2 linked regions of the Sus scrofa genome follow. The protein of the gene in region 1 interacts with the protein of each later gene in a pairwise test. Links are inferred from orthologs where the notes say so. Each region holds a gene or a part of one and is shown on either strand. Other genes may lie near its edges.

The links.
Region 2: the proteins of SIPA1L2 (region 1) and AP3M1 interact in binary tests that used the Homo sapiens proteins (3 or more experiments, as listed by UniProt). The two-hybrid records come from large-scale screens. The link is inferred for Sus scrofa from reciprocal best matches to the Homo sapiens genes SIPA1L2 and AP3M1.

What each region holds. Positions count from the first base shown.
Region 1 is NC_010456.5:58,115,672-58,119,964, forward strand, and holds the start of SIPA1L2 (signal-induced proliferation-associated 1-like protein 2), read left to right. Parts: upstream 1-1,234; 5' UTR 1,235-1,460; intron 1,461-1,485; exon of another isoform or gene 1,486-1,627; 5' UTR 1,628-1,734; intron 1,735-2,178; exon of another isoform or gene 2,179-2,198; intron 2,199-3,495; exon of another isoform or gene 3,496-3,513; intron 3,514-3,824; exon of another isoform or gene 3,825-4,083; intron 4,084-4,100; exon of another isoform or gene 4,101-4,293.
Region 2 is NC_010456.5:76,825,558-76,829,370, reverse strand, and holds part of AP3M1 (AP-3 complex subunit mu-1), read left to right. Parts: intron 1-1,854; 5' UTR 1,855-1,857; coding exon 1,858-2,130; intron 2,131-3,318; coding exon 3,319-3,490; intron 3,491-3,813. UniProt on the Homo sapiens protein: Part of the AP-3 complex, an adaptor-related complex which is not clathrin-associated. The complex is associated with the Golgi region as well as more peripheral structures.

The sequences.
Region 1 (4,293 bases):
TCCGCTGTGCCAAGACGGGAACTCTTGGTGTAGCACGGGTTTGATCACCACTGTCCAGCACTGGCCAGGCCAGGCCAAGCCAAGCCTCTGGGTCATGTTTGCTGGGGCCTAGAACATTCTGCAAGGCTGCATGTGCTCTGTGGTTCTGCACTGTCAATTATAAGCATTAAAAAAAAAAATGGTGCTAGAGTTCCTGTTGTGGCTCAGTGGTTAAAGAACCGACTAGTATCCTTGAGGATGCAGGTTCGATCCCTGGCCAGGCTCAGTGGGTTGAGGATCAGGCATTGCTGTGAGCTGTGGTGTAGGTCGCAGACGAGGCTTGGATCCCATGTTGCTGTGGCTATGGCGTAGGCTGGCAAGCTACAGCTCTGATTTGACCCCTAGGCTGGGAACCTCCGTATGCTGCAGGTATAGCCCCAAAATGACTATATATGTATATATATATGTGTGTGTGTGTGTGTGTGTGTGTGTGTGTATACATATATATATATATATATATATATATATATATATACACTGCCAACAATGGTTATGACCAAAGGGTTAAGGTTATTTTTAATTTTAGCTTACAAAACTAAAGACTTCCTTATCAGATCATTAAGACATTAAGAACACATTAAAACTCCCACTGTGTCTAGCAGGCAGTGGACAACTGCAGCTCCAGCTATAAAACCCACCTTGGTGACAACCCACAGGCTCAGGCAGTCACTGAGGGAGACACAGTTCTTTTCCTCAGGGCCCTTACAGAATAGTGGGAAAGACAATGACATGTGTAGCTGTGAGAAGTGTGAGAAGTACTGTGATCACGTGCTCTGCGGGGTGGGGGTGGGGCGGTGATGTCTGTCCTCCCTTGGCTTCCACAGGAAGGGTCCCTCCATGGCTATTCCTGTGTCCATAGGACATGGGAGAGCACCTGTCATGTATAGGGATGGGCACAGGTGAGATGGAGAGGTTGTGAAAAGTAGGGCCTATCTCTTATGCATCTCTGTCCCCAGCACCTAGCACCTTCTGGAACATACAGAGTCTCCATACATGTTTGCTGAATGAATAAACGACCATCTTGGTAAATGCTGTTAATGAAGTGGTGTTTGGGAAGCCCATCAAACCCGGGAGAACTCAGGAGGTTTGTCAGGTCATAGTACTGCTCTCTAACGTGTTTTATTACACACACTCCTATACTGCATGCTCATATTTACATAGAGATATAAAAGGCTGTAAAATGTTTACATACTTTTTAGACCACAGAGAAATAAGGCATGGGAGGGACTGCCTCTAACTTTTAAGAGGGTTACCCTAGGGAGTGTTTGTAATAGGGAAGTATAGACAACGTTATCTCTCCAGGAAGAATTCTGCCTCCAGAAAAGGAGGAACTGAAAACTCTGAATCTTGTTTCTGGAAACTGCCAGAGAAGTTCTCTCTCAGAAAAGCCGGCTCAGGAAATCCTGCGGTGGGGCTGGAAGGTAAGGTACAGTCTATGTAATCCAGTCTATTCCTGCTCCTGGGTTCTGACTCCCATGAAACCCTTTCGGTAGAGTTAACTCCAGTGTGGCTTAAAAAGGTCCTCTGAGATCTTTTAATCTTTCAGCAGCCAATTCAAGTGTCAAGCAATTTACATTCATCCTTTCAGGGAGAGCTTCCTCCTGGGTGATCAACATCTCCTAGGAAAGTGGAAAAGGTGGATATCAAGAGTTCATTTTCTCCTCGTCAAGATAAAGATCCAGGAGCATTTCTCCCGTGAGTGGAGGGCTGCCTGGAGGCCGGTTGGGGGGGCTGGGCGGGGAGGATAGAGCCTGCACACCTCTCCCAGCCTCCTTCCAGACTCCCAATGGTCTGTTTCCGCAGCATTCCTGCGCGCTGGCACCACCTGACTTCTTGCGCATTTCTCCGCGCATCCAGCCACTCCATCCCCTGGGGGTCAGGGGCACCGCCTGGGCGGTCCAAGGCGCCCTCGGGTGTCCGCACACAGTAGGGCTCGCTCCTCCTGCCGGCTTCCTGCGAACGCGGAGGTGCGGCGATCCTGCTGCGGCTCTGAGCAGGTGCCTGCGCAGCGCCTGGCAGCTGTGTTGTCGGGAGGCGACACTCAGGCTCTCGCGGCGCGGGGACCAAGAGCCAGCGGGCACGATTCTCCCCATTCGGGAGAGTGGAGTCCGGGAGGGGCCGCGGCTGCGCCAGGGGGCGGCGCGGAGCCAGGTTAGCGGGTGTGTATGATCGCTTTTCTCTCTGCCTCTTTGATCAGGTCTTTATTCAAAATGAGCTGACCAAAATGATTTGACCTTCAGAGGATAAACACATCTAAGTTTGCGCAGCAGGCTTCTTTTCTGTGGAGCCTTTCTTTTCCTCCGGCTTCCCAGCGGCTGGTTTCTTGGTAGCTGCTGCCTTTTTTTTTTTTTTTTTTTTTTTTTTTAACCCCCCACCAACGGCTGCTTCTGTTTCTTAAAGCCAACAGCCTTCCTTTCTCTCCTCTCTACCTTGCCTGGTACCTCTACTCATCTGATCTGGCTTCTGCCGCCGCTGCTGCCCTGGATGCACGGAGTTAGTTTGGTATTCTTAGCGTGGTGAAGAATGGTGCCCCGGGTGCATGATCTTTGAACGTGGGTTTAGTTAGATTGAACATGACTCTCAGGTTTTTCCAATGAATTCTTCTACAGGACCCTGACATGATTTCTCTTGCATGGTGCTCTGGGATTTTTCAAGATTATGCCCAGGTCTGTGTTGAGCTTGTGCACGGGAAGGTTGTAGTTACTCTTGAAGGAAGGAGGCAGCTTCTTCCAGAAGTGCTGCAGGAAGTGTCATTACAGATCATCTAACTTGCTGAAAGCAAATTCGAAACATCCCAGTTGTCCACCAGGAGCAAGTTTCATTGCTTACATTCGGCATAGTAATTCCTTTTGAAGGGAATGTAGAATTAAGGAGCCAGCGATGTTCCTTAAGGCCTTGATAGTGTGGTCCTGGTTACAGATCCCCTGCTGTGCATGCACCATGGCTTCTCACTTTGTCCTTGCCAGCTCTCTCATTCGCTCAGACGCAGAGACCTTTTTGATATTATTCCAGGCCTTAAGTTTCTTAAGAAGCAAAACAGTCCCCTTCGTCTTCTCAGTAGCCTTCAATGTTATCTACAACCACCAAAGGAAGTTCAGGACTTCCTCAATACACTGACCTTTAGCCATGACCAGCGCCCCTAAGGCCGAAGCAGCCAGGGCAGAGCAAATGGCACATCGTTTCTGTGTTGTGATCACTCTGCTGGGCCAACGGCGCCAGAATTGTTTGCGCAACGTGCGGCCCCACGACACATCTATTTCCCCAGTTAAGAAACGTATTTCTCAAATTTTAGGAATTAAAAGAAAGATTATGTCTTACTCAGTAAGAATTTTAGGCTACTGTAGCTGAAAATACAGTAAGACGCAAATGACGACATCACTGTTACAGATTCAGGGTTTTTAAGTTATCGGTGCCAGAGGGGCGAAAACGAGTCCCGAGGAGGAGGGCGACAGCTTTCCCAGACTGCGGGTCCAGGTAGGCTGCATCTCCCTGGAGGTCGCCGGCGCCGCTCACCCGGCGTCCCGCAGCCCCATCTGAAAGAAGAGCACCAACCCCTCCGGGACGCGCCGCTCCAGCGAGCCGCGGGGCCTGGGAACCGCGCACCGGCTGAGCCCGGAGCCCCGCGGGGCTGCGGGACAGACGGCGCCCGCGCCCAATCGCTGGGCGGGGCCGAGGGGGCGGGCAGGAAGCAGCCAATGGGAGGCCGCGGAGCGGGCGGGGGGCGGTGCCGCCGGGCGGGCGGGCGGTGGCGTTGGGAGCTGGCGCGGCAGACCAGGAGCCCGGGAGGAGCCGGCGGAGCGGGAGGAGGACAGAGGAGGAGGAGCAGCGCCGCGCCCCCGCCCCGGCCGCCCGCCCGCCGGATCACAGGCCGATCGCTTCAGCCGCAGCGGGCAGGTCCCGGCCGCCTCCCGCCGGAGCCCGGCGCCGGCAGGGTCCGGGCCGATGGGCAGCCCCGGGCAGCGGCGGGCGGCGAGGCGGCGGCCCCGGTACGCGCCGCCCCGCGCTCGCGGGCTGTAGCAGGTCCCTGCGGACTGCGTGTCCGAGGTGCGTGTCGGGGCGAGCGAAGGGAGGCGAGGCGGGTCCGCTTGGGAGCCTCCGGGTGGTGCCCAGGGGCCGTCCTGAAGTGTAGGGGCTGCCCTTCGGGGCGCCTCAGGGGGCAGACGGCAGAGCGCTCCGGAGCTCGGCAGAGCCGGGGCGCAGGGCGGGGGTCCGGCTGGCAGCTGCGCCCGCGCTCCTGAGCTCGGGGTGAAAGAG
Region 2 (3,813 bases), about 19 Mb from region 1:
TCAGTGGGTTAAGGATCTGGCATTAATGTAGTTGCAGCATAGGCCACAACTGCAGCTTAGATCTGATCCCTGGCCCCTTGGCATATGGAACTCCATATGCCAAGGGGCAGCCAAAAAGGGGGAAAAAAAATTTAATAAATAAAAATAGTGTATCAGAGAGCAGAGGTGATAATTAAAAGTCAGTCGGTTCTGGGAGTTCCTGCTGTGGCGCAGTGGGTTAAGGATTTGATCCCTGCCCAATACAACACAGTACCTTACATCAAGTTTTGAAATCAGGAAGTGCTAGTCTTCCAGTTTTGTTCTTCTTTTTCAAGATCAATTCGGTTGTTCTTGGTCTCTTTAATCTCCATAAAAATTTCAGGGTCAGCCTTTCAGTTTCCATTTTGAAAAGGCATCTGATATTCTAATAGAGATTGCAGTAAATCTGTAGGTCAATTTGGGGAGTATAGTCATCTTAGCATATTAAGTCTTCCAATCTATAAACATGAAATGTCTTTCCATTTTTTTTAGTTCTTTTTAATGTCTTTCAGTGATCTGTAGAATTCCATATACAGGTCTTAGATTTCTGTTAATTTAATCCTAAGTATTTTGATCTTCTTTTGGATGCTTTTGTAAGTAGAATTGTTTTCTCAGTTTCAGTATCAGAGTAGTTATTGCTAATATGTAGAAATATAATTGGTTTTTTATATTAGTCTTATATCAAGCAATCTTGATGAATGCACTTATTGCTCTCAGTAGTTTTTGTGTGGGAATTCCCATCATGGCTCAGTGGGTTATGAACCTGACTAGTATCCATGAGGACGTGCGTTCAATCCCTGGCCTTGCTCAGTGGGTCAAGGATCCGGCATTGCTGTGCGCTGTGCTGTAGGTCACAGATGTGGCTCAGATCCCATGTTGCTATAGCTATGGTGTAGGCTGGCAACTACAGCCCCAATTCAACCCCTAGCCTGGGAACTTCCATATGATGCAGGTGCAGACCTTAAGGAAAAAAAATGGTTTGTGTGTGTAAGTGTATTCCTTAGAATTTTCTGTATACAAGATAACATCATCTGCAAATAGAGATAGTTTTGCTTCTTGTCCAATTTGGAAGCCTTCTGTTTCATTTTCTTGCTTAATTATCCTGTCTAGACCCTACCATGTTCAGCATTTTCAAAGTGCTGAAAATGGACATTATTGTTTGTTCTTGATATTAAGGGGAAAGCTTTTGGTTGTTTCACAGAGGTTCTTTATCAGGTTGAGGAAATTTATCTTCCTAGTTTAAATGTTTTTGTCCTATAAAATTTATCAAATGATTTTTCTTGCACCTTTTTAAATAATTATATTTTTGTCTTTTATGAATACTGTGTATTATGTTGATTGAACTAACCTTGCATTCTTAAATAAATCATGTTACTTGATTGAGTTTGCTAGTATTTTGCTGAGGATTTTTGCGTTTATATTTTTAAGTGATATTTGTTTGTAGTTTCTTGTATTGCTTTTGTGTGTTTTTGTTTGTTTTTTCGAAACATTCTTTTATTTTATTTTTTTGTCTTTTTGCCTTTTCTAGGGCTGCTCTCATGGCATATGGAGGTTCCCAGGCCAGGGGTCGAATCGGAGCTGTAGCCACCGGCCTACACTACAGCCACAGCAACGCAGGATCTGAGCTGCGTCTGCAACCCACACCACAGCTCACCGCAACGCCAGATCCTTAACCCACTGAGCGAGGCCAGGGATCGAACCCACAACCTCATGGTTCCTATTCGGATCCGCCAACCACTGTGCCACGACGGGAACTTCTGTGTGGTTTTGCTATCAGGTTAATATAAGGATACTTTTTTTGATGTATACTAAATTTAAACTTTTTTTCCCTCCCAGAAAATGATCCACAGTCTATTTCTCATAAACTGTTCCGGTGACATATTTCTGGAGAAGCACTGGAAGAGCGTTGTGAGCCAGTCTGTCTGTGATTATTTCTTTGAAGCTCAAGAGAAAGCTGCTGATGTTGAAAATGTACCTCCTGTTATTTCAACACCTCACCACTACCTCATCAGTATATACCGGGATAAGCTCTTCTTTGTCTCTGTCATACAGACTGAAGTGCCACCTCTCTTTGTAATTGAGTTCCTACATCGAGTTGCTGACACTTTTCAGGTTGGTTATTCATCAAATCTTTTGAATTTAAATTATCCAAGTTTGATGAAGGTGGAACACGGTTATATTCTTTAATTACCCAGCTTTTGATGTGTAATCTCTCTGTCTCTCCCTGTTCTTTTCACCTAAGCTTAAGCTCATAAACATAAACCTTTTTTATAGGGTATACAGTAGTATACATAGCTTCTCAGTTAAAATTTTAGGAGAACAGAACAATCTCATAGTCATGGAAACTGTATTTTTTTAATGTATTATGGATTATGCCATCAGGAAATAATAGTGCCCTCCACGTACAGTTCTCTGAATGGTCCCAAGAATTTTTTTGGTTATGAAACCTTCCATTGCTTAACATTATTTTTTTTTCTTGGCCTCCTGAATATACCAATAATTGAAAACTTATCGGAGTTCCCGTCGTGGTGCAGTGGTTAACGAATCCGACTAGGAACCATGAGGTTGCGGGTTCGATCCCTGCCCTTGCTCAGTGGGTTAACGATCCGGCGTTGCTGTGAGCTGTGGTGTAGGTTGCAGATGCGGCTCGGACCCCGCGTTGCTGTGGCTGTGGCGTAGGCCAGTGGCTACAGCTCCGATTCAACCCCTAGCCTGGGAACCTCCATATGCCGCGGGAGTGGCCCAAGAAATAGCAACAACAACAACAACAAGACAAAAAAAAAAAAAAAAAAAGAAAACTTATCCATGTTTCTTGGAGTACATGATCAGGACAAATGAAGTTTATAGTTCACATTCTGTTTTAACATTTCAGTGTATTTTCTGACGTAATACTTAGTAGGAATCCAATTCAATCTAAAAACATTAAGGAGGAGTTCTTGCTGTGGTCAACAGGATCAGCGACATCTCTCAAGCACTGGCACACAGGTTCAGTCCCTGGCCCAGCACAGTGGGTTAAGGATCTGGTGTTGCTGCAGCATAGGTGACAACTGAGGCTCAGATCTGATCTCTGGTCCAGGAACTCCTAATGTCGTGGGGCAGCCAAAAACAATAGTAATAATAAGGAAATTTTGAAGAATAGTATATAGAACTCTAGAGGGTTTTTTCACCCTCTGTTTACATATTTTCGACATCTTAAACAATGATTTGTGCTACTTTAAGTTTACCCTTTAGAACACAGAAAGTATTTAGCAAGCCTTTCTTCATGTCTTCTATTGTGCAATATTATGTACCTTTTGTTAGGACTACTTTGGTGAGTGTTCAGAGGCTGCAATTAAGGATAATGTGGTCATAGTATATGAGCTCTTGGAAGAAATGCTAGACAATGGATTTCCACTGGCTACGGAGTCTAACATTTTGAAAGAATTGATTAAACCACCAACAATTCTACGTTCTGTTGTCAACTCTATTACAGGTAAGTGAAATGCACTCTAATAAGAACTGAGCAATTGAAACTTCATAAACATTCATTTTTGTTTATTTGATCTGGCAGATTCTTAAGGTAGTCCGTTTTGGCCGGATTTGAAGTTAGTGATAATGTTAAAATAGATGTATATTTCTTTTCATGAAAAGAGGCTTGATTTTAAATGATAAAGAACTTTTGCTTGTTACTCTTGTATTACAGGTTTTTCTGTAAGACTACAACAATATTATTACTATATTTAACACTAAATAGTAAGAATGACTAAATTATCCACTTAAAGAGAAACCAATATAGTGATGACTGTTAACTAAATT